Linked DNA regions of Macaca fascicularis. The protein of the gene in region 1 interacts with the protein of each later gene in a biochemical or structural test. Links are inferred from orthologs where the notes say so. Each region holds a gene or a part of one and is shown in the gene's direction. Other genes may lie near its edges. The genes, in order: CD2, CD2BP2 and CD58.

What was found.
Region 2: the proteins of CD2 (region 1) and CD2BP2 interact in a biophysical measurement, tested with the Homo sapiens proteins (6 studies listed by BioGRID and IntAct, with this or other methods). The link is inferred for Macaca fascicularis from reciprocal best matches to the Homo sapiens genes CD2 and CD2BP2.
Region 3: the proteins of CD2 (region 1) and CD58 form a complex in vitro, tested with the Homo sapiens proteins (3 studies listed by BioGRID and IntAct, with this or other methods). The link is inferred for Macaca fascicularis from reciprocal best matches to the Homo sapiens genes CD2 and CD58.

Annotation. Positions count from the first base shown.
Region 1 is NC_088375.1:117,641,552-117,651,992, reverse strand, and holds the start of CD2 (T-cell surface antigen CD2), read left to right. Parts: upstream 1-5,464; 5' UTR 5,465-5,527; coding exon 5,528-5,588; intron 5,589-5,726; coding exon 5,727-6,047; intron 6,048-10,441. UniProt on the Homo sapiens protein: CD2 interacts with lymphocyte function-associated antigen CD58 (LFA-3) and CD48/BCM1 to mediate adhesion between T-cells and other cell types. CD2 is implicated in the triggering of T-cells, the cytoplasmic domain is implicated in the signaling function.
Region 2 is NC_088394.1:28,491,603-28,502,197, reverse strand, and holds CD2BP2 (CD2 antigen cytoplasmic tail-binding protein 2), read left to right. Parts: upstream 1-5,706; 5' UTR 5,707-5,776; intron 5,777-6,283; 5' UTR 6,284-6,309; coding exon 6,310-6,387; intron 6,388-6,667; coding exon 6,668-6,803; intron 6,804-6,928; coding exon 6,929-7,086; intron 7,087-7,186; coding exon 7,187-7,622; intron 7,623-7,702; coding exon 7,703-7,809; intron 7,810-7,875; coding exon of another isoform or gene 7,876-7,894; coding exon 7,895-8,005; 3' UTR 8,006-10,218; downstream 10,219-10,595. Other genes in the region: TBC1D10B (TBC1 domain family member 10B), read left to right, coding at 1,079-1,193, 1,317-1,382, 1,559-1,748, 2,081-2,235, 2,325-3,002. UniProt on the Homo sapiens protein: Involved in pre-mRNA splicing as component of the U5 snRNP complex that is involved in spliceosome assembly.
Region 3 is NC_088375.1:117,823,375-117,833,811, forward strand, and holds the start of CD58 (lymphocyte function-associated antigen 3), read left to right. Parts: upstream 1-3,527; 5' UTR 3,528-3,546; coding exon 3,547-3,616; intron 3,617-10,437. UniProt on the Homo sapiens protein: Ligand of the T-lymphocyte CD2 glycoprotein.

The DNA of each region.
Region 1 (10,441 bases):
AGACGGGCGGATCACGGGTCAGGAGATCGAGACCATCCTGGCTAACACGGTGAAACCCCGTCTCTACTAAAAAATACAAAAAACTAGCCGGGCGAGGTGGCAGGCGCCTGTAGTCCCAGCTACTCGGGAGGCTGAGGCAGGAGAATGGCGTAAACCCGGGAGGCGGAGCTTGCAGTGAGCCGAGATCGCGCCACTGCACTCCAGCCTGGGTGACAGAGCCAGACTCCGTCTCAAAAAAAAAAAAAAAAAAAAAAAAGAAAGAAAGAATCAAGGGTGAGCTGGTGGTGCTAGACAGCAACTTTTATTGAAGCAGCAGCAGAGGTACTGCTCCTTGCAGAGCAGGTATACACTACAGTCACAGCAGGTATACACTACACTACACTACTGCCTAGAGTATCAGCTTAAAGGTAGTTTTGCAGTCCCATTTGTACCCATTGTAATTATATGCAAATTAAAGGGCAGATTATGCAGAAATTTCTAGGAAAAGGGTGGTAACTTCTGGGTCTCCAGGTCATTGTCTTGGAAAAAGGTGGTAAAGGTTGGGTATTGCCATGGCAACAGTAAACCAAAATGGCACACTGGTGGGCATGTCCTATGGAAAGCTGCTTCCACCCATCTCTGTTTTAGCTAGTCCTCAAGTTGGTTCAGTGTCCAAGCCCCACCTCCAGAGTCAAGTTCCACCTCCTACTTCAGTGCCACCCTAAAACATGCCTTTTTAGCATATGGGTTATTTTGAGCAAAAGGCCATCATGAACCAGCAGAGGCAGTAAAAGCTTTAAAAACACGGCACAAGATTTTTCTTTTGTAAAGAAAATTTACAATTTCTGAAGAAAATATCCATTTGTAAAAGGTATCTCCCTCTCCTGTATCCAGAAGAGGAGGACTCTTAACAACTCTTATCAATGGAGAAGGCATTGGCTTCAATCTGCCAACAAACCTTACTAAATAACTCATAGTTTACCACACTTTTCCTGGTTATTCAATAACCTGCCTCTCCCACCTAGAAGCCCCAAATCCCTTTTTGTTTGTTTAGCCTAAGATACTCTACAAGTCCAAGTTCTAACATCCCTTTGGGTTACTCACCACTGGGTGCTCCCATGTTTATGAGGGATACACATCTTAATCAACTTCAATGTTTCCCTTGTTAACCTGCCTTTTCCCAGTCTAGTTTACAGGGTTCCAGCCAGAGAATCTAAGATGAGCAGAGGAAAAAGATTACTTTTCTCCTCTCCTACAATTGGGATCTGTTTTTGTCATATTCCACAGCTTGTCTATGTCATGATTTACTTAACCAATTTCCTTCTCTTAGACATTTAAATTGTTTCCAATTTTGGCTTTAAAATACTGCAGTGTATAAATTTATAGCCAAGTCTAGTACATAGCCTTCATTATTTCCTTATGATAAAATCATCCTTGTGGACTTGTTAGAAATCCACATATTTTTGATACTTCTAATTCACACTGACAAATTGCCCACCAGAAACTATACCTATTTGCAATTCTCCTATATACGAGAACGCTATATACAAGAACGCCCACTTTCACCATCATCAACACTATGTTTTCATTTTTCAAATGAAGATGAAAAATGCATCCATGTTAAAACTGACATTCCTTTATTCATAAATAGAAACAAAATTCTTCTTTTGTGGATTGCTCCTTTTATGACTTTGACCTATTTTAATATTAAGGTGTCTATCTTTTCTATGTTTACAAGAAAAATTTAATATTAAAAATTTAATGTTTACCAGGCACGGTGGCCCACACCTGTCATCCCAACACTTTGGGAGGCCAAGGTGGGAGGATCACTTGAGCCCAGGAGTTCAAGATCAGCCTGGGCAACATAGTGAGACCCCAGTCTCTACAAAAAATAAAAAAAAAATAGCCAGGCATGGTGCCACATGTCTGTATTCCCAGCTACTCAGGAGGCTGAGGCAGGAAGATCACTTGAGCTCAGGAGGTCAAGGCTGCAGTATATTGTGATCATGCCACTGCACTCCTTCCTGAAACAGAGCAAAACCCTGTCTCTAAAGTTAATTAAAAAAAATTGTTATGCCTTTGTCATGTATCTTGCAAGTAATTTGCTCCTTTTAGTGCATTCTTTTAATTTTTTTATGGAAAAATACAAAGTTTTCACATTTTACAGAGTCAGATCTACCAATCTCTTTCTTTTTCATGGTTTCTGCCCTTGAAGCCATGCTCATCACTCAGAGTAGAATTAGTTTTAGAGGAGCAAAATCAATGTTTCAAATAGAAAAGCAGAAAGCTGCTCTTCACATGCTCCATGAGGAAAGTGAGAGGAAGAGAGGGCAAGCGCACTCAAAAGCTGAGACGGGGGAGAGGATGGCCAGCGCCACCTTCTCTCCACCAGGCCTTGACAGACTGGAGTTGGACAGCGGCTGGTGGGTCAGCCACTCACAAGCAGGGAAGCTCTGTGCTGCTCCTCTGGGTTGGCAGATACTTTTGAAAAAATATGTGTGCCCTAAGCATCCTTTCTTAAAAAGACATTTTTTATTACAAAAAAAGTGTTTACTTCCAAAATTTTAAACTTCACAGAAATTAATAAAATGTGAAAGAAAAATAAAATGCCAGGACCCCAATTCATTATGCCAAAAGGAAAAAATAAACTGAAAGTTGAGTCACGCAAGAAACTGCCTTCCCTTGAGTTCCTAAGCAGACAACTACAGACAAAAAGCTGCTGTCTCCAGGGGTAGCTACTCTATGTTCACCTTATCTTATGAAAGTGCCAATTTACTGAGCATGAGAAGAATACACAATTGACCATTCCCCTACCTGCTTCTTTTCTCTTGCAACATATGGATTCAGTAATGTGACCGTGTCCTCCCTCCTTCCCCTCTGACCGGCTTTTCCCCTTTAAATACTGAAGCCTTCAAAACCATGTTGAGAAAAAGGCACAAACCACAGATTGTTCCTGTGGTTCTGTGTTCCTTTTTGTCCTTAATGTTGATGAAATAAACTTCTAAATTGATTGAGACCTATCTCAAGTATTTTTTTGGTTTACAAAGGTAAGAAGTGAAGATTTCATTTCGGTTCTCTCGCAGTCTAATACCTGAAAGACAAGCACTGTAAAAAAATTCACCATCAGCCCTTTCAGGCTTTTTTCTCACACATACCTTAAGAACAACAGAGTATGATACAGTATACTGGTATACCCGTAGCATAGTATAAACACAGTATCATATATAAAAAGGACTAATCCTATAGATATTGTTTTGCAATTTACTCTTTTCATGTGATTTTCCAAAAGCATCTTTCCATGTCTTACTTTTAGGCCTATGTTATACTATTTTGATGCTTATGCAATATTTCATAATATGAATATACTATAATTTTACTGGTTTGCAATTTTTTATTACAAAAATGATACAACAAACGTCCTTGAACAGCATTTTAAAACATCCGTGCTTTCATATGTGTGGGATAGATGTCTGAAGTTAAAATCACTCGGTGAAAAAAAGACAAATTTTAAAGTTTGGTGGAAATGAAATTCCTTTCCCCAGAAGGTGTTGATTTATATTCCCTCTGATGTTGTATGAAGGTTCATTTCTCCACACATTCATGTTAATAATGTAAATTATCATTTTTCCTAATTTTGCCAATCTGATGGTGAAAAATGGTATTTTATAGCTAAGATATATGCATATAATTCTGGTGACATTGGACTCCTCTTGCGGGTTTGATATTTCTTCTGTGAACTACTTCTTCTGTAAGCTGATCATTTATATCCTTTGCCCATTTTAAAAACTATTTTGTATTGATTGATAAGAATTATTTCTATGTTTTGAATATTAATAATTTTATACATATCGCAAGTATTTTGTCATGCCTTTTCATTTTGTTCCTTATTTCTTCATCTGCACATAAATCTTACTTCTTTACATCATCAATTGTGTTCATCCTTTCCTTCTTACTTTGGATTATGTGTTATATGTAGATAGGCCTTCCATACTCAAGCTATAAGAATATCTTTCTGTATTGTCCTTTTAGCATTTTAATTAATTAATTATTTTATTTTATTTTATTTTTTTTGAGACAGAGTCTCACTCTGCCGCCCAGGCTGGAGTGCAGTGACACCATCCTGGCTCATTGCAACCTCTGCTTCCCAGGTTCAAGCACTTCGCCTGCCTCAGCCTCCTGAGTAGCTGGAATTACAGGCACACGTCACCATGCCTGGCTAATTTTTGTAGTTTTAGTAGAGATGGGGTTTCACCACGTTGGCCAGGTTGGTCTTGAACTCCTGACCTAAGGTGAGGAGGTCCGCCTCGGCCTCCCAGAGTGCTGGGATTATAGCTGTGAGCCGCCACGCCCGGCCTCCTTTTAGCATTATTGTAGTATTTTTGCATTTAAAATTTTAATTCAACTGTTGTGCATTATTGTGGAAGATGCTCATACAACCATGAGGTAAATATTTGGGCTTCCTTTTACCCAGTAATAGCAAACAACTGCTTTGACTTAATTTCATTTCCTTGGCAACTTTCTGACAGATAATATCCATATTTGTACTTAGAGTTGAAAAAGAAAACAAGCACCTCTTTTACAGTTTTTACTCACTGTGACCTAAAGAATTGTAACGCTGAAAATGTGCTTTGGAAGTCTGTCATGGTTATTCCTCTTTTTAGGCATCTTTTCAGGGCACATGCATCTCTGCATCATTGTCTCTTTCCTTGTGTCACAAATTTCTGTTCTCTTTTTCTCTCCCTCATTTCTTTTTCTCCTAATCTCTCCTTTTTCTTAACCACCTATAATGTTAATCACTTTAAATGCTTTTGACTCCTTTGTTTTGGTGGTTTAATTGTATTTCATAGTCTCCATGCTTCTTTGTTTTGGAACAAGTTTCTATTTACCTAACTGTGAATTTCACTAGGGTTGTAAAATGTACCCCGAACATAGGATTTGGGGATTGCAAGCATTTACAGCTGATACTTAATTTCTTTCTTTTCATCACAAAAACGATTTTAGAACATGAAAAATATCTTTGGAGAAACAAAAAAATCAATTTCCTAATCATTTTATGGGCATACTTTTCAATATTTATAATCATATAGGATAAATATTTGCATTCTGCTAATGGCTTGGCTTGTGAACATTTACCTATATTTCTCTGTGGTCTTGTTAGGGACAGTATACCTAAGTGGATAAAAGGCTGGGAGGTTGAATTTGGCTTCTTGTTTACAAAAGACTGATCCTTATTCATCTACTTAGCCTCTATGTTCCTTTTCTCTTTCACTGAGATGAGAAAATCCATCCATCCCAATTTTTTGTGAGGATTAAAATGCGGTAAGAAAACACACACTCATAAACACATCTGCTTTGGTAAAGGAGCACATCAGAAGGGCTGGCTTGTGCGCGCTCTCGCTCTCTGTGTATGTGTGCTGTGTTTTATGTTACTGTAAAAGATGTAAAGAGAGGCACGTGGTTAAGTTCTCGGGGTGTGGACTCCACCAGTCTCACTTCAGTTCCTTTTGCATGAAGAGCTCAGAATCAAAAGAGGAAACTAACTCCTAAGATGAGCCTTCCATGTAAAATTGTAACCAGCTTCCTTCTAATTTTCAACGTTTCTTCCAAAGGTAAGTTGGTGGATGGGTCTCCACTGTCACGGTTAGAAGCTTCTTCTTCGGAGACCCTGAAGTAAGCATAAGAGCCAAAGAAGTCCCAACCCAACTTTCCCTGGAGGTGACTCTCAGTAACTCTTTTGCTTTTTCTAGGTGCAGTCTCCAAAGAGATTAGGAATGCTTTTGAAACCTGGGGAGCGCTGGGTCAGGACATCGACTTGGACATTCCTAGTTTTCAAATGAGTGATGATATTGATGATATAAAATGGGAAAAAACTTCAGACAAGAAAAAGATTGCACAATTCAGAAAAGAGAAGGAGACTTTCGAGGAAAAAGATGCATATAAGCTATTTAAAAACGGAACTCTGAAAATTAAGCATCTGAAGATCCATGATCAGGATAGCTACAAGGTATCAATATACGATACAAAAGGAAAAAATGTGTTGGAAAAAACATTTGATTTGAAGATTCAAGGTAAGTGTTCATTCCCTTAATTGCTTTATTTCAGTGTGGGTGCTATTTGGCAAGTTGGAAAATAGCATTTATAATATTCCCCAACGCTGACCTCTGCCTCCAGGGGGGCTGTACAGGAAATCAGATGCATGTCTCCTGCGCCAGTGGAGACTGTGGTCCAATGATGGAATGGGATCCACACATCTGATAGACACATCTGAAGTCTACCTGCCTACAACTCTCTCTTCAGGTGGTTACAGGAATGTGAGGCTGGGTGAAGAACCTGGATTAAGGTGGCATTAATCAGGAGAGGGACACAGGTGGGCAGAGAGAAAAGGCAACTGTTCCAGGTTGCTGATGAATGGGCAAGTTAAGAGTGGGGCGGGAAAAGGCTGACTGGAGAGCAGCGGGCCTTTCATCGACAGAGCCCATTTCAAGCCAGGCTGCCCTGAAGGAGGAGTTATATGGCAGAAAAGGCCTGGAAACAACATATTTAAAGATGAACAGCCCTTGTTTTGGATCTGCTTGTCAGAGCGATTCAAGGTGATAGGTGATTTTTGCTAATATGTGTAGAAGATGCACAAGGTGTGGCTTTATTTATCTCTACCTGTACTGGGAGGGCAGGAGTGGATATTGAGGATGGGGTTAGGGAGACTAGTCAGAAAGCTGCTGCTGTGATCCAAGGGAAGTGAGGACCAATTAAATCAGATGTTTTTGCATGCAGCCTGGGTATCATTAGGTTATAAAGCTCCCTGGGGGATTATAATGAGCAGCCAAAGTCAGTCACCACTGGCCGAGACCAAAGGGTGCCTGTAAAATGGGAAGAATGAGGATAATAAAGGTCAGGCATAGAGAAAGGTGGCTTGGGCAAGGGAGAGAAGGAAGAGAAAGTGGAATCGAAATGCCATTGAAGTTGAAAGCCCAGGGGATGCTGGGGAGGGAGTCATAAGAAGGAAAAAGAAGAAGCTGCGCTTGACTTGGGGAGGCAGACAGGAACCCCAGCATGAGCACAGGCCAGCCATTCAGTGAGCAAATAAGCATTTCTGTGCTTCACACAGAAAATGTCGCCAGAAGCAGGGTCCCCTCCTTCTTCCTCTCTGTCTCCAGCCCCGTCTTCAGCACCTGGGCCTACCAGCAATCCCAGATAGTGTCAGATTGCCCAGTCCAGCAATCCCAGACACTGTCAGCTCCCCTGCAGTGACAACTTTCCACACCCTAGTCCTGCAACCCTGAGTGGGAGCACCTTGTAGAAATGTAGCGGGGTTGAGCATGGCGCTCAAAAGGGCCCCTGATTATGGGCTCTGGAAACCACAGATCTCAGGACTCCAAACAGCACAAAATTTGAGTGTCCTGTTTTGAGTGTGAGCCCTACGCGGGAGACCATGCTGGTGTTTTCACATTTGGGTCGCATTTAGCATTGCGGTGGAAATAGTGGCTACCAGCTAGGGGTCAGGTGCTTGCTTACATGATCTTACTTAAAGCTCCCAACAATACTGAGACATAGCTGTTATTATCTCCTTGTTATATGTAAGAAAACAGAGACCTAGTCAGAAGCAGCTTGTCCAAGGTCTCATTGCTTGACAGGAGCAAAGTCAGGATTCAAACTCAGAGGTCTTTTTGGCAAGGATGATGACCTTTTCTCTTTTTTTCCAAGCAGCTTCATTGAGATAACTCACCTAGCATTCAATTTGTCCATATACTAAAATGGCCTTTAGTATATTCAGAGTTTTGTAACCATCACCACAATCAACATTTTCATTGCCCCCAAAAGAAACCCTTCACCCTTTAGCCTAAAGACAGCGACTTGCTTTGTGTGTGTGCACGCCAATGTCATACAACATCTTGATTCAACTTGTAGTTGGGCACTATTACCAGACTTGAGGTCACCATGGCCTTGGGCAAATTCCCTATCTGCTCTGAGTCTGATTTTTGAATGACAACTTCAAGGGATATTCAATGAGACAATGTGTGTACAAGTGCCCTGCAGTGCCTAGGGCACAATACCTGTTTGCTCAGTGCTAATGCCCTCCCACATCTCTTTGTTTCTCCAAGCTTCTCTTTGTTGTTTTTTGTGTGTGTGTGTAAGATGGAGTCTTGCTCTGTTGCCCAGGCTGGAGTGCACCAGCATGATCTCTGCTCACTGCAGCCTCTGCCTCCCAGGTTCAAGTGATTCTCCTGCCTCATCCTCCCAAGTCGCTGGGATTACAGGCGTGTACTACCACGTCCAGCTAATTTTTGTATTTTTTTTTTTGCGGGGGGGGGGGGCGGGGACGGAGTCTGGCTCAGTCGCCCAGGCTGGAGTGCAGTGGCGCGATCTTGGCTCACTCAAAGCTCCGCCTCCCGGGTTCACACCATTCTCCTGCCTCAGCCTCCCAAGTAGCTGGGACTACAGGCGCCACCACCACGCCCGGCTAGTTTTTTGCATTTTTAGTAGAGACGGGGTTTCACTGTGTTAGAGATGCCATGTTGGTCAGGCTGGTCTCAAACTCCTGACCTCAGAGGATCTGCTTGCATCAGCCTCCCAAAGTGCTGGCATTACAGGTGTGAACCACGGCACCCAGCCTCCAAACTTCTCAAACTCCAGTAGTTGTGCCTGCATTTCCTTCATGAGGGAGTTGCTGCTGCAGGCTGAAGAGGCAGTGGAGGGCTCCTTAGAAACATATGCTGGTAGGGAAGGGGTTAATCCCAGCAACTCAGAACTAAGGAGTTCTCAACCATGGAAGGCCTTAGGTTGGATCGGTTCTAAGATGCTATCTTAGTGAATGTATACGGAGGTACCACTCCACAACTCCCGTCACTGCGTTGTTCATGTTAGCGAAATGCTAGAACAGTCAGCAGTCAGAAATTTATTAATCAATTAAATTAAGAATGCATCCTTTAAAAAGATGGAGATATGCATTTATTGATGTTCATTTAAAAAAGAATGTCATAATATAATTTCACAATAAAGGGAAAAAGGCAGACTATAAGATCACATAAACTAGTTTTAATTTTAAAAATATTACATATATATATAGAGAGAGAGAGAAGGAGAGAGAGAGAGAGAGAGACAGGGTCTCACTCTGTCGTCCAGCCTGGAGTGCAGTGGCGCAATCTTGGTTCACTGCAGCCTCTGCCTCCTGGGTTCAAGCAATTCTCATGCCTCAGCCTCCTGAGTAGTTCGGATTACAGGCACGTACCAACACACCTGGCTAATCTTCGTATTTTTAGTAGAGATGGATTTCACCATGTTGGCTAGGGTACTCTTGAACTCCTGGCCTCAAGTGATCCGCCCACCTCAGCCTCCCAAAGTGCTGGATTACAGGCATGAGCCACCTCACCCAGCTGAAGTATTACATTATTTATATATGTACACATAAATAGAAAATATCTGATAAAGATATACATGAAAATATTATTCATTATTGACCTTGAGTGGTGGCATTGTGGGTAATTTTTAATCTGCTTTAAACTTTTAAAAATATTTTATCAACTTGTACAATAACTGAAGTTGAAAGCCCACGAATGCTGGGCAGGGAGTGATAAGAAGGGAAAAGAGGAAGCTGCACTTGGCTTGGGGAGGCAGACAGGAACCCCAGCATGAGCACAGGCCAGCCATTCAGTGAGCAAATAAGCATTTCTGTGCTTCACACAGAAAATGTCGCCAGAAGCAGGGTCCCCTCCTTCTTCCTCTCTGTCTCCAGCCCCGTCTTCAGCACCTGGGCCTACCAGCAATCCCAGACAGTGTCAGATTGCCCAGTCCAGCAATCCCAGACACTGTCAGCTCCCCTGCAGTGACAACTTTCCACACCCTAGTCCTGCAACCCTGAGTGGGAGCACCTTGTAGAAATGTAGCGGGGTTGAGCATGGCGCTCAAAAGGGCCCCTGATTATGGGCTCTGGAAACCACAGATCTCAGGACTCCAAACAGCACAAAATTTGAGCGTCCTGTTTTGAGTGTGAGCCCTACGCGGGAGACCATGCTGGCGTTTTCACATTTGGGTCGCATTTAGCATTGCGGTGGAAATAGTGGCTACCAGCGAGGAGTCAGGTGCTTGCTTACATGATCTTACTTAAAGCTCCCAACAATACTGAGACATAGCTGTTATTATCTCCTTGTTATATGTAAGAAAACAGAGACCTAGTCAGAAGCAGCTTGTCCAAGGTCTCATTGCTTGACAGGAGCAAAGTCAGGATTCAAACTCAGAGGTCTTTTTGGCAAGGATGATGGCCTTTTCTTTTTTTTTCCATGCAGCTTCATTGAGATAATTCACCTAGCATTCAATTTGTCCATATACTAAAATGGCCTTTAGTACATTCAGTTTTGCAACCATCATCACAATCATGTTACTGTGTTACTGTTATAAGTAGAAAAAAAAAAAATCCATTCTGAAGAGACAGGCAAACTTCATGACCCAACCCCTAGACTATGTACTA
Region 2 (10,595 bases), on another chromosome or scaffold:
CGGTGGCTCAAGCCTGTAATCCCAGCACTTTGGGAGGCCGAGGCGGGCGGATCACAAGGTCAGGAGATCGAGACCACGGTGAAACCCCGTCTCTACTAAAAATACAAAAAATTAGCCGGGCGCGGTGGCGGGCGCCTGTAGTCCTAGCTACTCGGGAGGCTGAGGCAGGAGAATGGCGTGAACCCAGGAGGCGGAGCTTGCAGTGAGCCGAGATCGCGCCACTGCACTCCAGCCTGGGCAACAGCGTGAGACTCCGTCTCAAAAAAAAAAAAAAAAGTAGGGTGGTATGCAGATAAAATACAAATGAAGATCACACTTGAATGCCTGGAGTTTTGGGAAAAGCTATTCTGAGCACTGGTCAGGAGGAGGATGTGTGAGACTGGAGGCAGGGAGAGGATTTGGGAGGTCATTTTTTCTGGGCAAGAAATGGAAGTCTGAGCTGCGAATGGCTGTGGAGGTAGAGAGCAGGCAGGAGTGGAATTCAGGGTGCAATGCTGCTTAGGCTTGGAGGAAGAGGCTCTTTTCTGATGTGGGGCTGAGTGAATGGAAGTCCTGGACATGGCAGTGGGGCACCCTCAAGAGGAGCAGGTCTAGGGTGCAGATTTTATTCTTTTGTATGCAGAGACAAGAGAAAGGGCTGAGGCACAGCTGGCTTCCAAGCCTTCCCCAAGAGCCATGAAATCCAGTGAGACCCATAAGGCAGGCCCTGCTCTGGGGAGCTCCTGCTTTGCGGTAACAAAGACATTCAGTGCTAGAGGAGGGCTGATGCTGCGGCTGTGGAAAGCTTCCTGGAGAAAATGACCTGGAAGGTTTCTGGGATGTGGCAGAGGAAGGAGGGTGAGGGTGCAGCCTGTGCTGGGATGGCAGGGAGCATGTGGAGTGTGTAGCCAAAGGCGGAGCCTTGGGGCCTGGAGTGCTCTGCTGTGGGCTGAGCCTTTAGCTGAAGCTTGCTCAGCAGGACTGGACAGGTGGATGGAAGGTCCTGGTAGTAAAGCTCTGGGATGAATCTGGAACTGGGCTTGGGAACAGAGCTCTTGGCCCCTGTGACTGCCCTCATGGTCTTCCCCAACCCCCACAGGCAACAGGACCTGTACCGAATCCTGAAGGCCTACACCATCTACCGGCCTGACGAGGGTTACTGCCAGGCCCAGGCCCCCGTGGCCGCGGTCCTGCTCATGCACATGCCTGCGGAGGTCAGCTCCCTGGTTCTGGGCCGGGAGGGGCAGGGGGGATCTCAGCCTGCAGTGGTGATGGGGGAGCTCCCTGCTCCCTGCTTCTCAGGCCCCACCCCTCCTCCTTGTTCTTGCTCTTCTCAGCAAGCCTTTTGGTGCCTGGTGCAGATCTGCGACAAGTACCTGCCAGGTTACTACAGTGCAGGGCTGGTGAGTGTCTGAAGGCTGGGTGCATCCAGAGCTGTGGCATTTCCTCCAGGCTGCAGGGAGGTCCTTGCCTTGCCCCACCCTGGCCTTCTCAGCCTCTGCCCACAGGGCCTGCCAGTTCTCCCCTGATGGGGGCACAGCTGACTTAGCCCTCTTCTCATGACTTGTCCCACCTGTAGGAGGCCATTCAGCTGGACGGGGAGATCTTTTTTGCGCTCCTGCGCCGGGCCTCTCCACTGGCACATCGCCACCTGCGGCGGCAGCGCATCGACCCTGTGCTCTACATGACGGAGTGGTTCATGTGCATCTTCGCCCGTACCCTGCCCTGGGCATCGGTGCTGCGTGTCTGGGACATGTTTTTCTGTGAAGGTACTTCTGTGGCCCTCCAGGCCATGAGGGGCTATGGTGGCTACCAGGGGTTCTGTGGTCCCTGGACAAAAGGTACTTGTGGGTGGAAGTTTCACCATAAGCAGCTGGGGGCTGGAGAAACAGGCCTGATTTTGGTTCTGCCCCCAACCTAGATCCTGCTCTCCCTGCCAAGATCCTGAGACTGATAGCAGCTCATTTCCTTTCATGGGGCCTCAGTTTCCTCATCTGAGATTGGCAGTAGATGGGGATGAGGGCTGTGAGTCCGTCCTAATCAGGACAGGCTGAGATCCTGGGTCTGACCACCCTGTGCTCTCTACTCTTCACCCCTGCAGGCGTTAAGATCATCTTCCGGGTGGCCCTGGTCCTGCTGCGCCACACGCTGGGCTCGGTGGAGAAGCTGCGCTCCTGCCAAGGCATGTATGAGACCATGGAGCAGCTGCGTAACCTGCCCCAGCAGTGCATGCAGGAGGACTTCCTGGTGCACGAGGTAGGCCTGCACCCTCAGCACAGCCCCTGCCTGCATCAGCCCGCTCCCACCCTCAGCTCCATTCTGGTATGCACTTCCTCTCTGTCCAGGTGACCAATCTGCCAGTGACAGAAGCACTCATTGAGAGGGAGAATGCAGCCCAGCTCAAGAAGTGGCGGGAAACACGGGGGGAGCTGCAGTATCGGCCCTCACGGCGACTGCATGGCTCCCGGGCCATCCATGAGGAGCGCCGGCGGCAACAGCCACCCCTGGGCCCCTCCTCCAGCCTCCTCAGCCTCCCTGGTCTCAAGAGCCGAGGCTCCAGGGCTGCTGGAGGGGCCCCCTCCCCACCGCCTCCCGTCCGCAGGGCCAGTGCTGGGCCTGCCCCAGGGCCTGTGGTCACTGCTGAGGGACTGCATCCATCCCTTCCCTCACCCACTGGCAACAGCATCCCATTGGGTTCCAGCAAGGAGACCAGGAAGCAGGAGAAGGAGCGGCAGAAACAGGAGAAGGAGCGGGAGAAGGAGCGGCAGAAGCAGGAGAAGGAGCGGGAGAAGGAGAGGGAGAAGGAGCGGCAGAAGCAGGAGAAGGAGCGGGAGAAGCAGGAGAAGGAGCGGGAGAAGCAGGAGAAGGAGCGGGAGAAGCAGGAGAAGGAGCGGCAGAAGCAGGAGAAGAAGGCTCAAGGCCGGAAGCTTTCGCTGCGTCGAAAGGCAGATGGGCCCCCAGGCCCCCACGATGGTGGGGACAAGCCCTCAGCAGCCGAGGCCCGGCAGGACGCTTACTTCTGACCTCTGCCCTGGGGCTGGACTGCATGGCCCCCTTCTTTCCCTCAGCCAAGAGCAGGCCTGGCCCGAGGTGCCACCCCCTAGCCCCTCGGCAGGCTGTCCCTCACTGGGGAAAGTGGCTTGGTTCCCCATCTCCTCGCCAGCCGCTGATCCCTACACGGGCAGGACAGATGGGCAGCTGCAAACGAGTCTGGAGCCTCTCATCTCCCATGAGGCTCAGCTGGGGTCTTTGTCGCTCCTGCCCCAGTTCCCTCTGGGTCCCCTACTAGGTGCTGTCCTGATTGGCCCGTTGTCATCCCAGGGGTGACTCCTGGTGATGGGAGTCAGCAGTTTCAAATTCTTACACTCCATGGCTCCCCTTACCATGAGGTGGAGCTGGCTTCCTTTTCCCTGTCTTCAGCCCTCCCTGTCTCCAATTCCTGGCCTGGGCTCTCCTTCTGGACCTTTCTGTGTTGTAATTATGTACAGAGGATGGGGTTGGCCTGGGGTGGGGATGCTCGCTTTTGTCTTCTGTCCTTTGGTTCTCCTTCCATAATGCTCCTGTACCCAGTTTATTTAAGGGGACATGCACTGGAATAGGAAATGTCCCCCATATCCCTTCCCGCACCCTGCTGTGCACCCTCCAAACCCACCTTGCTCTGTGTTCTCAGGCCCCCCTGCTTTGTCTCACCAGGACCCCTACCTTTCACCTTGTTCCCTTCCACCCCTCCAGTTAGTCCCTATCTGGGTAAGGGTCTTCCCTTGAGCTCCAGGGGGTGGAACCCAATGTTTACATTCTCTTCTGTCTCTGCCCCCACCCCATGCAGCGCTTTGAGGAATCAGAAAAGAACCTGCTGTTGTACCCGAGTCTGTCTCCTGCCTTGTTACTTGATGGGGGTTGGGGTGGGGTAAGGATGAGGGAGGGAGGGAGAGACAGAGCCAGGACCTGGGTCTCTGTTAAAACAGTCTGCTGTCTTGGCAAGTAGGTATCTCTTGGCTTTGGGTCCATCTCTCAAGTCACTCATCAGACACTGGTTGAGCTCCTACTCCAGCTTTGCCTGGGATGTGCTGTCTCCATTGTCACTGGCTGCCTGGAGCTCTCTAGGTACCACCTGCAGCACCCAGATCTGCTTCCCAAAGTGCTCATGCAACTCCTGGAAGCTGGAACGGGTACTCATGGTGGCTAGAAAGCCAGTGTCCTCTGGGCATGAGATGGGTTCTTGGCCAGCTGCCTGGCACAGCTCCCGGTATTAGGTCTTGAGTGGGGGCAGCAGCCCAGCCAGCCACCTCCAGCTCACACCAGCCAGTGCCCACAGCCAAGTCTCCAGGTTTTCCTGGGTTTCTGCAGCCAGCTTGTAGGCCCGCCCACCCCAGGAGTCAGGATGGTAAAGGCATAGGGTTCTTAAGGTGTAGCTCCACCTGGCAGTTCTCCAACGGGATGAGGCCCAGGGGTGCATGATCGGTCTGGTGTTCTAGGTAGAAGAGGTTTCCTTGGAGGATGAACCATCGGTGCTGGTAGCTGAGGTTTCGGGTCCCCTTCTTTAGCAACATGCCTTCCTGGTCTGGGGCCTGTGTTCTGTAACCATGGAAGAAACTGAGCATGGACTTTCTGTGCAGTTCCATCGTGATCCAATATGGGAGGAAATCCCTAGGGAGAGAGAAGTGGCCCATCTAGTTGCCTTGGGGAAGAGTAGGGGAACTCTCACACTGTCCTCGTCTGGCTCCAGCAGGTGCCGCCTGGGCAGTCTTTGCTTAGGGGGATGCAGGCTCCGAGTGTCCTCAAGAGCTAGAGGTTCCAGTACAGGGGCTGACCCCCCGCCACCTCCCCCAGTCCCGCTTCTGCTTGGGCCACATTCTGTTACCTGGGCACGAGTTGCTAGGCCCTGTTTGCTCAGAGGAGCTTCATGCTACAGAGAGGCACTGTTGCCCTTTTCCAGGCCGTGGTGCTAGGCCCTGTTTGCTCAGAGGGGCTTCATGCTACAGAGAGGCACTGTTGCCCTTTTCCAGGCCTATCTGAGAGCAGGGCACAGGGACTTCTGGCCTGGGTACTGGTGCCAATGCCACCTCTCCAGTGATGGCTCTCCCACCTCAGAAGCCAGGAACTCGCCCAGGGTATGGGCGTGGGACAAATGACTTCCCCTGGGTCCTAAAGGGAGCTGTGTCCAGAAAGTGCCCCGAGAGCCGTCCAGGGGCCCCGGGCTGGCCATCGGGAGAGCCAGGCTTCCCCTCGGGGAGGGCAAGGCTCCACCTCTCAGATAGGAGAGCTTACCACCGGACCACAGGAGTGGGAAGGCAGGATTTCTAACGAGACGGTAGGGGCGCTGAGCCCTCAGCCCTGGTGGAAGGGTGACTCGAACCCAGCACAGGAAAACGGGGCAGCGACCCACTGGCCCTGCTCGGACTTTGCCCCTCCATCCTGACCCTGGGCGACCCTTTAAGTAGATGCTCTCGTTTTTCTCCAGAGCCTCTACTGCTTGAATGAGGGAATCGAAGGTACTTCCGGCCATTTCTCACGCCCGGTCAGAGTGTAGGCATTCACAGGTCCCCTCTTCTCGCCATTGTCCTCCCACGCGACTGACGTCACTTCTTGCGGGAGAGAGGGTGGAGGCGTCTTCCCTCGCTCACCGCGTACTTCCGCCCGCTCTTCCAGTTAGTTCCCTAACCCGAGTGAAGCCACTTCCGGGCTTCCCAGGCGCCTTCCACAGTCCTCTTCCGGGTGATGGCGGCCGGGTGCCCCGGATGTAGCCTTGGCGCAAGCATCTCTTCTTTTCGCCACCTCGCCTCCCGCGGAGTCCCAGGTGAGCGCGCGAGGGTGGGACAGCCCGGATCCCCGTGGCCCTCTAATTTGTACACAGCCCGGGACAGTTGGGGCTCACCACACGGAATTGGGAGTTCGGAGCAGGGAGGAACGGGGTGGCGAGAGCGCCAGGTCCTGGGTCTGCCCGGGCCCCGCGAGCTCCGAGAGAGCCAGAGTAGGAGGCGGGGGTCAGCCGGTCGAGCCGGTGGCGCCCAGACTGCGGGGGCTGGAGTTGGGAGCGGTCACGTGGTGAAGTCTGTTCCCTGTTGGCCAGGGTCAGGGGATCCAGAGGGTCCGCTCCTCCGTCCCCACCCCATTTAACTCGCGGATGCTAGACCCAAGTCCTGCAGGCCTCCTGGCTGCCAGCTTCTCTTCAGCCCTTGCTTTTGTGCTCCCTCCGCTCCCAAACTGTACCTGTCACAGACCAGGAAAAATATTTGCTGTGCTGGGTCCTCTGGTGGCGAGTCCCCTCCTCACCCCATTCTCTTTCTCTGTATCCTTTCCTCAGCTTGAGAAACACCTCTCTGCCCCGTCATGCCAAAGAGGAAAGTGACCTTCCAAGGCGTGGGAGATGAGGAAGATGAGGATGAAATCAGTGTCCCCAAGAAGAAGGTGAGGGGGCCAGACTCCTTTGTGTGGGGGAAAGAGAGGAGCTAGAAGCCTGAGGAGAAAGAAAGCTGGCGGGAGTGGGGCGGGGCGGGCAGGCAGAGAAAAGCCTAGTTTTTTCAGGTTCTCTGAAGAATGGGTTGGGAGCATCTTCAGTGTGGGTCCTAAAATATTTGGGGAAGTAGTCGAGATCCTGAAATATTTGGGGAATATTTGGGTCCAGATCCGGAAGTATTTGGGGAGGTAGCCAGTAACCTGCATTTCTTGACTTGACTCCTGCTCACAGCTGGTGGACCCTGTGGCTGGGTCAGGGGGTCCTGGGAGCCGCTTCAAAGGCAAACACTCTTTGGATAGCGATGAGGAGGATGATGATGATGGGGGGTCCAGCAAATACGACATCCTGGCCTCAGAGGATGTAGAAGGTGAGCTGTACCCAAGAATACACTCTGCTGGAGAAACAAGTAGGGGCCTCTGGTGGTGTGGAGTGAGGGAGGCTCCAGTCTCTCTTTTCCATGCCTAGAAAAGGGCACCTGTGTCTTTGGTACAGGTCAGGAGGCAGCCACACTCCCCAGCGAGGGGGGTGTTCGGATCACACCCTTTAACCTGCAGGAGGAGATGGAGGAAGGACACTTTGATGCTGATGGCAACTACTTCCTGAACCGGGATGCTCAGATCCGAGACAGCTGGCTGGACAACATTGACTGGGTGAGGCCCAGGGGCTGGTGTGGCTGGGGCCGGGGAGTGGCGGATGCTAGGCCTGCTCCCATGGCAGTTCGTGGGAAATCACTGCATCTTTCCATGACAGGTGAAGATCCGGGAGCGGCCACCTGGCCAGCACCAGGCCTCAGACTCGGAGGAGGAAGACAGCTTGGGCCAGACCCCAATGAGTGCCCAAGCCCTCTTGGAGGGACTTTTGGAGCTTCTGTTGCCTAGAGAGACAGTGGCTGGGGCACTGAGGCGTCTAGGGGCCCGAGGAGGAGGCAAAGGGAGCAGCAAGGGGCCTGGGCGTCCCAGTTCCCCTCAGCGCCTGGACCGGCTCTCCGGGTTGGCCGACCAGATGGTGGCCCGGGGCAACCTTGGCGTGTACCAGGAAACAAGGGAACGGTTGGCTATGCGGCTGAAGGGTTTGGGGTGTCAGACCGTGGGACCCCACAATCCCACACCCCCACCCTCCCTGGACATGTTCGCTGAGGAAGTGGCAGAGGAGGAACTGGAGACCCCAACCCCTACCCAGAGAGGAGGTAAGCTTGGAGGACAGAGGAGGGGGCAGTGGGCGGGAAGTGAGACACCGGAGGTCAAATGGCTTTGCCTGTTATTTTAGAAGCAGAGTCGCCAGGAGATGGTCTGGTGGATGTGATGTGGGAATATAAGTGGGAGAACACGGGGGATGCCGAGCTGTATGGGCCCTTCACCAGCGCCCAGATGCAGGTGAGCTGCTTTCTCCCTCCTTCTGGCTTGTCCCTGCTTCCCCTACTCCTGTCAGTCCTTCCCCAGCTCTGCCCTCTCCTTGCAGACCTGGGTGAGTGAAGGCTACTTCCCGGACGGTGTTTATTGCCGGAAGCTGGACCCCCCTGGTGGTCAGTTCTACAACTCCAAACGCATTGACTTTGAGCTCTACACCTGAGCCTGCTGGGGGCCCAGTTTGGTGGGTCATTCTTTCCTGGACTTTGTGGAGAAGGCACCAAGTGTCTCAGGCAGTGAGGAAATTGGAGGCCATTTTTCAGTCAATTTCCCTTTCCCAATAAAAGCCTTTAGTTGTGTATTGGGGCCTTGGCTGTGCTGACGGCCAGAAGCCAGGGGCCTTCTCCACAGCCACTTTGGACTTGCCTTGGTCCCTGAGTGTTTGCTCCCATGAAGATCTTCTTTGGAGGTGCCTGTCAGGTGTCCTGTGGCCTCACTGCCTGGACTCTGCTTGCTGTGTAAACACCCCCAACTGCGCTACTTTGTGTTCCTCTCTGAGGTTTCTTGTTTGATTCCCCTTAGGTCTTTGGCTTTCAGGATGTCAGATTCTTTGTCCTTGTAGCCACCAGGGGATGGAGCCCCAGAAGTGGAGCTTTTAGGCCTGGAAGGACCGGGGCATGGAGAAGACATTGGGTCTCTGTTGGGGGTGGGCATGGAAACGTTTTACTCTTGCTCCACCCTCTCAAGCTCCATAGACACTGGGCAGAAGTGGGATGAGTGGTCCAAGACCGAGATCCCTAAGGTTCTGAGAGCCAGTATCTTCCCTAGCCTGGCTTTCTTCTCTCCTTGCAGTCGTTCCCATAGCCCTTCAGTGAAATGCAAACTCAGTGGCCAAGCGTGGGCCAAGCGTGCGTTGTACTGGCACAGAGGGGCAGTGACTCACTGGAGGTCACAGGAATCAAAGGGCTGGCCCAGAACCAGTGGGCTCCTTTCCCAGACCTTTCTTGGCACAAAGCCTTTGCTGCCTGGCCTTTGAGGCCCTGCGGCCTACATTCTCTCGGCCCCACTAGGTGCCTGGCACAGGGCTAGTGCCTTCAGGAAACTGAGGTAGCTGGGCTGGTCCCCTTCCAGGAATTCAGAGTTTGGTGGCAGAGGCATGGGTGTAATTCTATAGCCTGGGCCTGGCACCCTCCACCCCCTACCCCCTACCAGCATTGCCTTATGCCTCCCTTGCACCACGTTAGATGGTTTCTTCCGGTTTTCCATTCTGGCTGCCCTTTGGAATCTCCTGGGGAGCTGTAATATCTATTTGGATATTCGGATTGAGCTGGTCTAGGTTGTGGCCCAGGCATTGGGTATTTCGGAAGCCTCTAGGTGTTTTCAGTTTGCAGCCAAGCCGAGAGAGAGCCCCTGGGTCCGACCCCCATGGTTGAGGCACCGCTAGCAGGAGGGCTGGCTCCTGGACCCCACTGTGGTTGTAGAGCTGAGCGTGTGTGTGGCTTTAGTGCCGTCCATTAGTTACGGGGATCTGGGCACCAGAGCTGCAGGACACTTGGAATCCCAGGGCAGAAAGGGCCAGACGAGCAACTAGGAAAGACTTGGGGGCCAGGGTGGAGTGGGGTTACCGGACGCTCTTGTGAGGCCTGCTCTAGTGCCTGCTCACACTGGAATTTCATTCACTCCAAGAAGCCATCAGGGGTAAGATACCTTCCTTTAAACATCACTAAGAAAGAAGAGGCCTGCCAGTGACACAGTAAGATGCCATTGATCTAAAGATGCGTCTTGATTTCAGAAAGGTCCGGAAGTGGAAAGCAGGTGTCAGGGCTGAGGTACAGGGTTCACCTGTAGGCCCCAGGGATGGTCTCTCAGGGGTGCTGAGTGAGTGCATGGTAAATCAATGGAGCCCAGGGGCGCCTCCTGCCGGTGTCCTCCAGGCACTCAAACCTAGCCCTTCCGAAGCCGACCTCACGTGACCTCACAGCCCCTCCTTAGGGCGCCTCACTGACGACGGTGGTGGGTGGAATAACAGCCACCAAAGAGGTCCAGGTTCTGAACCCCAGAACCTGGGAAAGTGTTACCTTGTATAGCAAAAGGGACCCGGCGCCTCTGCTTCAGTTCAGGATTTCATGGTGGGGAGATGACCCTGGGTGGTTGAGGTGGGCCCCGAGTAATCATGGGGGCCCTTATAAGGGAAAGGGAGTCAGGAGGGTCTGCGCGTGAAGCAAGGAAGCTTCTGGCTCTGAAGATGGCAAGAAGGCCCAGAGCCAGGCGATGAGGTGGCCCCTGGAGGAGCTGAAAAAGGCATTGGATTCTGCCCCAGAGCCTCCGTGGAGAAACAAAGCCGCACTGACACAGCTTCAGCCCGGTGGAAATCATTTTGGACTCCTGACCTCTAGAACTGTAAGATAATAAATTGGTGTGGTTTTCAGCCTCTCAGTTTGTGGTAATTTGTTAACAGCCCCAATAGGAAACAACTACTCATGCATCCAGCGGATGCCTCATGAACCACCCAATCTCGCTAAGTTCTCCCTTCCTGTGACCACATTGCTATTTCAGGTCCCTGTCAGGACTTATAAATGTGGCTGTCTCTTGCTAGGGTGGCCTTTATAGTACATCTGAATCAGCGCTCCTTGGCTTTTTATTTGTTTTGTTTTTAGAGACAGGGCCTTACCTAGGCTGGAGTACAGTGGTGTGATCATAGCTCACTGCAACCTTGAACTCCTGGGTTCAAGTGATCCTCCCACCTCAGCCTCCTATGTAGCTGGGTCTACAGGAGTACACCACTTCACCTGGCTAATTAAGAAACTTTTTTT
Region 3 (10,437 bases), about 180 kb from region 1:
GTAAGAAAACTACCCATGCATGATGTAGAGAGCTGTTGATTTGTTTCTGTTTTTTAAAGGAAAACTATTTGTAAGATGTTGCACTAAAACATTTTATATACACTTCAGAGACCTGTAGTAAATTATGTTGAAAATATGGCTGTTTACATTTACTGTGGTCTTCTATCATTCTTTCCCCCTTACTAACCAGCCCCCTTCCTCTGTGGGACTGTGCTGTGGGAGGCCTACAGTTCTGCCCTTGGCATTGGCCTGCTGGGCTCAAGGTCTGTGAATTGCAGTCTTTATTATTACACCCCGTAACCTTTAAATGATAAAAACACCTCTTCCTCAAGACACTTCACTGCCATCTGCTGCGACATACCATAGTCAATAGACACCTCCACCCTGATGATCAAGGCTGTGCTACCGCTAGAGCTGTGCAACACACAACACACTTAGCCCCTGAAAGGCAGGTTCAGAATGTAGATCTTACAACCTGTCGCATTTTTGTTGGGGGTTAGAGTATAGAAACCGGATGAGAAGGAGAGCAGGAACACAGGATGGCCATCTCTAGGGCCTCTGCAGCAAGTCCACACCATCCTTTTCCAGCTATGAAGTGCTGCCCTGGCCATGAAATGCAGCAAGGATTTCCCAGAATGATAAGAGCAGGAGCTGTGCCTTCTAGTTGAATGACACTGCACAGCGCACTGGTCTCTGTTTCCTCTTCCAGTGTTGGGAGGGGTTTACATCTGCAAATTGAGAAGAATGTTAGAATGATTAAAGCCATCGCAGTGATACGTGATTAGCCAGAACCCAGCTGTAACTCTTTAAAATTCACAGAACATGCAAAAAGGAACTAGATAGTAAGAAGCAGAGGGAGACACTTCTTTTTTTCTTCTCCTAAGTCCAAGACTTTCAAAGCTTTCGTGTGTGCTATCCTCTGCTCCCCAGAACCATCGGCTGCATCCTCATCAACTCCTTGCAGCTGCTGGCTTGGCCAGGAGTTGAAAATGTGACTGCCTCTCCCTTGGGTACCCATAATGGTTCCATGTTAAGTCTTATGTATAATTTTTCCTAATTTTTTTCAAATGTTCTTTTTCTGCCAGGGAATGTTTTAAAAAGGGAAATAGAGTATTATGGAATAAGATTACCGTTCTATGCCCTTTGTGCAAATCCACTCAGTATTGATATAAATGAAGTGAACATACATTCCCCCATGAGGCATGCAATGAAAATGACAATTTGCATTTATGCAGGATTGGGGCAGTGTTTTGCTCACTACATTCTGGGATTCCTAAGCTTTGTGGGAGTGGTTCCAAGGGTTTGGCAAAAACGAGAGTCAAGACACCAGAGAGTGACATGCTAGGAAGAACAGCCCCGGCCTCTTAAGCAGCCCTCCTTTCTTACTTTCTCATCCATGATTACCTACAGTGACAAGAAGATAAAACTGGACCTTGCAATACTGGTCACAGCGTGAAAGATACATCCACCCCTCCTTTTGATAGCAGGTTCTCAGTATGTAAAGGGAACCTTTTTGGCTGCCTGCCTAACACATTGCAGGTCCAGCATTCCTGAGCTGCTTTTGATTCATAAAATTAACCAGGCATTTGAGTGCTTCTAAAAGTGCTTGATGGACAGCATTTCTCTCAATGAAAGAGCACGCACCGCTCCTTGGTCAAAGGAGAGTCCAACCAAGGAAGCCTAATGAGTTATTCCTCACCCAATACCTGGAGACCATGACCTGGGGGCAAGGGGCTTCCGCAACCCCTTGTGACTGGGCTGTTCTTTCCTCAGCCCTGCTCTTAAGGGGGTTAACAGCTCTTGCTGGCAGTCCAAAAGTCCCATTATCATATCCCGCTCCTGTAGGAAGGGGTAAGAGTAGAGGCCCTGGACATGGCCTCAGCTGGACTCCAAGTTCTGCCCTTTACTGTGTGCCCTTAGTAACTTACCTTCTCCAGGCATCAGTTTCCTCATTTGCAAAAACAACAGCAGTAAGATTAAGTGAATCCAAGTAATGCACTTCACATGGGGCCTGCTCAATAGATGTTTGCTGTCATATCACTTCCCAGCTCAAAAACTTTCTGTGGCTCCCCAGTGTCTGAAGGTCTGACCCCAATCCTGCCTTTCTAAGTTGGCCTGAGTTCCTACCAGCCCAGGGCAGAGAACACTTGATGTCCTTACATTTTATGTTACACACTGCACCTGCCTTGTGTTCCCAGTATCTACAGATGGTAGGGAGTATCTTGAGATAGCAGGTTTGTGGTAGAGGGCTTTGGTCCCAGAAGTTTCACTGATAGAGATAACCTTTTAAGACTTTATGGCTAACTTAAGAAATAATTCATGTCTCTTTGCAATATGGTTCAAGTGTCTCCAGTGACTTTGAGTCCCCACCTGGGGATAATGGAGGGGAAGCAGCAAGAAAGCACATTCCCACTCAGTGTCACAGCCTGCACCATGTGTTGGTGGTTATTTGGGCAGCAGGGAGTCCTGTTCATGGAAATGAATTCCTGCTCACATCATAACTAAGAGTTCTGTGAACTCCTTCGGCCGGGCAGGGGCAACTCTGGTGCTTCTGTCTGCAAGAAAGGGGACAGATAGGGAGGCTGATGTGAGGAGTTGGTTCTGGGAATAGAGTCATTTGTTCTGGGATATAGGGATGTGAGGGGAGGGCCAGCTCAATCCAGACTGATGAAGGAGGGAGAGTGATGAGTGCCTGCCGCAGCTTGGGCTGGATGGATGTGGGGAGGCTGGGCAGTGAGGGAGATGTGGATCTGACATCAGCCTGAGGGAAAGTCCACGGTTGAGATGGGGGAAGAGAGAGAGGAATCTGAGAAGGGAGAAACCAAAGGCTGGAAATCCCAGCTCCGGGGATACCGGAGTGTGGGGACGGAGGAGGCCTGCCCTAGGTAACCCTACGCCTACTAACAGTTGTCTAAAATGCCCCCTTTCCTTGTCATGTTTGAGGAAAAGTGGTTCACAAAGTGGTTCAAAGAGGCCGTCTGAGGCGGGATCCCACAGCGCTGAAGCGATGAGGGGCCCCGGGTGCTCCTGCCCGTTCCCTTGCCTCCTCCGGTGGCTCTCCGGGAGCGACAGCCCCGTCCAGCCACCGAGCGGCCTTCAGCACGCCCCAAACGCTAAGGGGAAGCGCGGGAGGTGCGGGAGGAAGGCAGAGAAACCTGGTTTTTAAAACGCAAGCCACTTTCAAGGAAATAATTTCTTACTTAAAAATAGCGTATGGAATGGCGGTGGAATGCCGGGAGGGACCGAGCTGGGGGACTGGACGGCGCCCCGGGGACACAGGAAGGAGATGCGCAGAGCCGAGCCCAGGAGCGCGCCTGGGGACTGGAAGCGGGAAGACAAATGCGCCGCCGCGGAGGGTGGGGGAGGAAGGGCCGGGGAAGGTGGGGGAGGAAAGGCCGGGGAGGGTGGGGAAGGAAGGGCCGGGGCGGGCCACGGGCTGCCAGCCCCGGGCGGGGCGGAGCCCTACTTCTGGCCGCCCGCGTAGGCGGTGCTTGAACTTAGGGCTGCTAGTGGCTGGGTATTCGCGCAGAGGCGGGCCGGCCAGCCATGGTTGCTGGGAGCGACGCGGGGCGAGCCCTGGGGGTCCTCGGCGTGTTCTGCCTGTTGCGCTGCTTCGGTGAGTGAAGCCTGCTCCAGGGGCCCCGCGCCGGCCGGCGGGTACTGGGCAGCGCCCAGGCTGGGTGGACGCGCCGGGCTCGAGGCGGGTGCCGATCAGGGACCGGGTGGGGACGGGTCGTTGTGGGCCGGGAACAACTCAGCCGTGGGAGCCTTTTCAGGAAAAGAAAGTTGTTATTTCATCGCCAGTGTCCCTCATGGAGTCAGCAAGGAACTGTGGCCTCAGGGAAGGACGGGCTCCGGCCCGCTCGCCTCTCTTGCGGGGCCCGCGCGCCCCCACTCCCGCCCTCCCCCTCCCGAGCTCCAGTGACCAAGTTCCTTCCCGGGCCTCCCCAGTAACGTCGCTGAGCGCTTCCGCGGACTGCAAAACTTCTTCCCAGCCGTGAACGCGCCCGGGACGGGGTGCGGTCGCGGATGCCACCTTCTTGAGGGCGACGCCCGGTGCCCTCAGCGCGCGGTGCAGTCCCCGCCCACGCCGCGTCCGGCGTATCAGCAGAGAGGACTTTTCAGTCGCCCCACAGCGAGGAGCGGGGAAGCAACTAGGAAGCCGAGTCTCACTAGGGAAGCTGCAAATACAGTGATTAACAGCATCAGCTGTAGGGTCAGATGCCTAGCTTTGGATCCTGGCCCCACTCCTCACCTGAGTCATGAACTTGTGTGAGTTCCCTAACTTCTGTTCACTTCAGTACCTTCGCTTTTGAAGAGAGCGCCACTCACATGAGGGAAAGGATAATAATAAACCCACTTCATAGAATTACTGGGAACATCAGTCATTCAATAAATATTTACTGAGTATCAATTGTATGTTAAGCACTGCATAATAGACGGGGGATACAGTAAGGTACGCACAGTTCCCTGCCTTTTTGAAGCTCACCTTATAGTGAGGGAGAGAGACAGTAAGTAAATGAGTAAAAACATGGATGCTGAATGGTGATAAAAGTAAACATTTACTAGTATAGAGATGAGTAAAGCAAAGAAAGGGGAGATGGAAGTCGTTAATATTTCAATTTAGTTTTTTTTTAAATTTTGGAACAATTAAAATCTTAGGACAGTTGCAAAATTAGTACAGTGAATAGTTGCATACTTTCTCCTTGAATCACCAGTTAACTGTCACATTAGTTTTTTTTGTACACACACATCTATTATTTTTGTCAAACCATTTGAGAGTTTCAGACCTCATGACACCTCACCTGTAATTCTTCAGCATTTGTCTGGTAAGAACAATAGCATTCTCCAACAAGTCACAGAATCATCATGGTCTGGAAATGTGGCATTGATACAATACTGTTTCCTGGTAGAGAACCCAGAAGCCAGTCTTGCACCACATACTTCATTTGGTAATCATGCCTTTTGGACCCCCTTTAACCTAAAAGTGTTGCTTTTTTTTTTTTTTTTTTGGTACTTTATGACATCATCATTTTTGAAGTGTCTGAGCTGGTTGCTTTACCGAATGTCCCTTGGATGTGGATTTCCTGCTTGTTTCCTCATGATCAGATTCTGGTTGTAACTCTTTGTTAGCAGGAATACTACATAGTTATGTTGGGTTTTTCTCAGTGTGTCACATCGGGAAGCAGATGTGGTCTGTTGGTCACATTATTAGAGATGTTAACTTTGACTATTTGGTTGAAGTGAAGTTTACCAGATTTCTCCATTGTAGAGGCACCATTTTATCTTTGTAAGTAATAAGTGATGTGTTAAGTGATGTTTTGAGGTTGAGTGAATATCCTGTTCTCCAGCCACTGTTTATTCAGTGGTTTTAGTATCCTATGGTGATTCTTCTCAGAATCCATTATCACTAAAATATTTTATTTAATTTTTTGAGACAGGGTCTCATTGTGTCACCCAGGCTGGAGTGCAGGGGTACTATGACAGCTAACTCCAGCCTCAGCCTCTGAGGCTCAAACAATTCTCCCACCTCAGACTTCTGAGTAGCCAGGACTACAGGTACATGCCACCATGCTTGGCTAATTTTTTCTTATTTTTTGTAGAAACAGGGTTTCCCTATGTTGCCCAGACTGGTCTTAAACTCCTGGGCTCAAGTGATCCTCCCTCCTTGGCCTACCAAAGTGCTGAGATTACAGGCAGGAGCCACCACATCCAGCCACTAAAATATTTTCAAATGGTAATTTTCTTTCCTCCCTCCCTTTCTTCCTCCCTCTCTCCCTCCCTTCCATCCTTCCTCCCTTCCCTTCCCTTCCCTCCTTCCTCCCTTCCCTTCCCTTCTTTCCTTCTTTGTTTGCTTTTCTTTTCTCTATTCTTTTGAGACACGGTCTCACTCTGTTGCCCAGGCTAGAGTACAGTGACACAAATGGCTCACTGCAGCCTTGATCTCCCAGATTCAAGCGATCCTCCCACCTCAGTTTCCAAGTAGCTGGAACTACAGGGACATATCTTCACGTCCAGCTAATTTTTTTGTATTTTTTATAGAGACGGGGTTTCACCATGTTGCCCAGGCTGGTCTCGAACTCCTGGGCTCAAGCAATCCTCCTGAGCCAGTTTCCCAAAGTGTCGGTATTATAGGCATGAGCCACCCAGCAATTTTCTATTCTGTTTTTCTATGTATATTTATTGGTTTACATTATTCATAATGAATAGCTTTTGCACACACATCCTCTCTTTTTTTTCTTTTATTTTAGAAGGTTGTATGGACTCATGGATTCTTTTTTAAATATGACATTCCTGTCATCCATTTTGATGCTCAGCGACCCCACATTTGACAAGCAGGAACCCCTTCAAGCTTCAGAGTCCTTTTGCTGTGTTCCTGTTTGATTTTAAACCCTTACTTTCTGGCACAGAAAGATATTCTGGACTCATTTTGTAGTGTTCCTGCCTCAGCCTTCAAATCATTAGGTTCCCTGGGTTTCTTTTAGTGAGAGATGGTATTTAGAAATCAAGTTCTGGGTGCTAGGTGTGCCCACAGGTACTGGTGTCATTGCTTCTCAGCCTTGTCAGTTTTCAAAGTTAAGAAATGGAGTTTTTACAAAGTCAGGAGTTCACCCTGATACCTTTAACACTAATAATCTTACTGCTCAGTTCTTCTCCCTCTTCTGCTTTTCCGTGTTTGCATCTCCTTACTCCCACAGTGAGAACTCTGTTCTTAGTAGCATCAGTATATTTTCCTAATCTACGTTAAACCCCAAATCATTTTACAGTTGTTATACCAATCTACCACCAACTACAAACTTACTAAATACAGTTAAAGATTTCTTTACAGTTCCTTTTATTTTTCATTACAGATTATCTCCAGCTTAGCAATGGTTTGACTTAAGATTTTTCAGCTCTACAGTGAGTTTTTCAATATATAACTCCATAATAAGGAAAATCTGTATATCCCAGTGAAGATGTATGCAATACCATATTCAAAAGTTACTTGAATTCTGGCCAGGTGCAATGACTCATGACTGTAATCCCAGCACTTTGGGAGGTTGAGGTGGGTGGATCATGAGGTCAGGAGATTGAGACCATACTGGCTAATGCAGTGAAACCCTGTCTCTACTAAAAATAAAAAAATTAGCTGGGCGTGGTGGCGTGCACCTGTAATTCCAGCTACGTAGGAGGCTGAGGCAGGAGAATGGCCTGAACCGGGAGGCAGAGACTGCAGTGAGCCGAGATCACCACACTGCACTCCAGCCTGGGTGACAGAGTGAGACTCCATCTCAAAAAAAAAAAAAAAATGTTATTTGGATTCTTTTTTTTTTTTCTAACTACCCTTCTTAAACAAGGTAACACTCTATGTATTTTTTTGTATCTCATTTTTTCACTTCACCATACATCTGGAAAATCATTCCCCATCACTTGATAGAGATCATCCTCATTCTTTTTCACAGCTGTACAGTCCCCCATAGGGTGGCTATATGGTATTTAATTCAGCTACCCTCTGCTGGTTAGTATTACATAGTTTAGTTAGGGAGGGTCTCTTTAATAGGGTGACAGTTGATCATACACTTAAGGAAGTGAGAGATAGGCCACAAGGCTTTCTGGGGGAGTGATATTCCAGGTATACTACTCAGGATCCTGAGATAGGCTTCAAGTGTTTAAGAAACTTCAAGGATACCATTGTGGCATAGAGTGGTAGAAAATGAAGTTGTAAAAGTAGTCAGGGATGGATCCTGTAGATAAAGTTTTTAGGGCCTTTTAAAGATTTTGACCTTTTTGCTTTCAGTGACTGGAAAGTTTTGAAGGATTTTGAACAGGGGTGAAGTTATGATGACTTGGGTGTTTAAAAGAATTATTCTGGCTGCTGGATGAATAGTATGTAGAGGAGAGAAAAGGAAGAGCAGGGAGGTTGGTTAGGCTGCAGGGGCAATGCAGGAAAGGAATCACTGGGGGTAAGAGATATCTGGATGTGTTTTGAAGGTGGAACTGGCAGGATTTGGTGTGGGCTTGCATTAGTGGAATGACATGTGGATAGGGCCTGGGTAGTGCTGGGCAAGTAGCAAGAGTTTGGAAGTATGAACTGGGCTGAGCATGGTGGCGCATGCCTGTAATCCTAGTACTGAGAGGCTGAGGCAGGCAGATCTCTTGAGCCCAGGAGTTCGAGACCGTCCTGAGCAACATGTTGAAACCCCATGATATGGTTTGGCTCTATGTTACCACCCAAATCTCACCTTGAATTGTAATAATCCCCATGTGTCAAGGTCAGGGCGAGGTGGAGATAATTGAATCATGAGGGTAGTTTCCCCCATACTGTTCTCAGATAGTGAATAAGACTCACAATATTTGATGGTTTTATAAATGGGGGTTCCCATGCACAAGCTGTCTCTTGCCTACTGCCATGTAAGATGTGCCTTGCTTCTCCTTTGCCTTCTGCCATGATTGTGGGGCCTCCATGGCCATGTGGAACTGTGAGTTCATTGAACCTCTTTCCTTTATAAATTACCTAGTCTTGGGTATGTCTTTATTAGCAGCATGAGAGTGGACTAATACAGTCAATTGGTACTGGGTAGTGGGGCACTGCTGCAAAGATACCTGAAAATGTGGAAGCAACTTTGGAACTGGGTAACAGGCAGGGATTGGAAGAGTTTGGGGGACTCGGAAGAAGACAGGAAGATGTAGGAAAGTTTGGAACTTCCTAGAGACTTGTTGAATGGCTTTAACCAAATGCTGCTCATTCTAGATGGAGATGAGGAACTTGTTGGGAACTGGAATAAAGGTGACTCTTACTATGTTTTAGCAAAGAGACTGGCAGCATTTTGCCTGTGCCCTAAAGATATGTGGAACTTTGAACTTGAGAGAAATGATTTAGGGCATCTAGTGGAAGAAATTTCTAAGTAGCAAAGCATTCAAGAGGTGACTTGGTTGCTGTTAAAAGCATTCAGTTTTATGTGTTCACAAAGATGTGGTTAGGAATTGGAACTTATGTTTAAAAGGGAAGCAAGGCATAAAAGTTCAGAAAATTTGCAGCCTGATGATGCAATAGAAAAGAAAAACCCATTTTCTGAGTAGAAATTCAAGCTGGCTACAGAAATTTGCATAAGTAATGAGGAGCCAAATGTTAATCACCAAGACAATGGGGAAAATGTCTCCAGAGCATAACAGAAACCTTCATGGCAGCCCCTCCTATCATAGGCCTGGAGGCCTGGGAGGGAAAAATAGTTTCATGGGCTGGACCCAGGGTCCCCCTGCTCTATGCAGCCTCCAAACATGGTGCCCTGCATTCCAACTGTTTTAGCTCCAGCCATGGCTAAAAGGAGCCAACATACCACTCAGGCTGTTGCTTCAGAGGGTGCAAGCCTCAAGCCTTGGTGGCTTACACGTGGGGTTGGGCCTGTGGATGCACAGAAGTCAAGAATTGAGGTTTGAGAACCTCTGCCTAGATTTCAGAGGATGTATGGAAATGCCTGGATGTCCAGGCAGAAGTTTGCTGCAGGAGTGGGCCCCTCATGGAGAAGCGGATAGCTGTAACCTGCGAAGCCACAGGTGCAGAGTTGCCCAGGGTTGTGAGAGCCCACCTCTTGCATCACTTGGATCAGAAGGCATGGAGTCAAAGGAGATCATTTTGGAACTTTAAGATTTAATGACTGCCCTATTGGATTTAGGACTTGCATGGGGCCTGTAGCCCTTTTGTTTTGGACAATTTCTCCCATTTGGAATGGATATATTTACTCAGCACCTATACCCCATTGTATCTAGGAAGTAATTAACTTGCTTTTGATTTTACAGGCTAATAGTTGGAAGGAACTTGCCTTATCTCAGATGAGACTTTGGATTTAGACTTTTGGATTAATGCTGGAATAAGTTAAGATTTTGAGGGGCTGTTGGAAGGGCATTATTATGTTTTGAAATGTGAGGACATGAGATTTGGGAGGGGCCGGGGTGGAATGATATGGTTTGGCTGTGTCCCCACCCAAATCTCACCTTGAATTGTAATAATCCCCATGTGTCAAGGGCAGGGCCAGGTAGAGATAATTGAATCAAGAGGGCAGTTTCCTCCATACTGTTCTTGTGATAGTGAAGAAGTCTCACAAGATCTGATGGTTTTTATAAAGGGGAGTTCCCCTGCACACACTCTCTCTTGCCTGCCACATTTAAGACATGACTTTGCTTCTCCTTTGCCTTCTGCCATGATTGTGAGGCCTTCCTGGCCATGTGGAACTGTGAGTCCATTGAGCCTCTTTCCTTGATAAATTACCCGGTCTCAGGTGTGTCATTATTAGCAGTGTGAGAATGGACTAATACACTCCATCTCTACAAAAAGTTAGCCTGGTGTGGTGGTGCATGCCTGTAGTCCTAGCTACTCGGGAGGCTAAGGTGAGCCTGGCAATTGCTTGAGTCTGGGAATTTGAGGCTGCAGTGAGCCATGATGACACCACTGCACTCCAG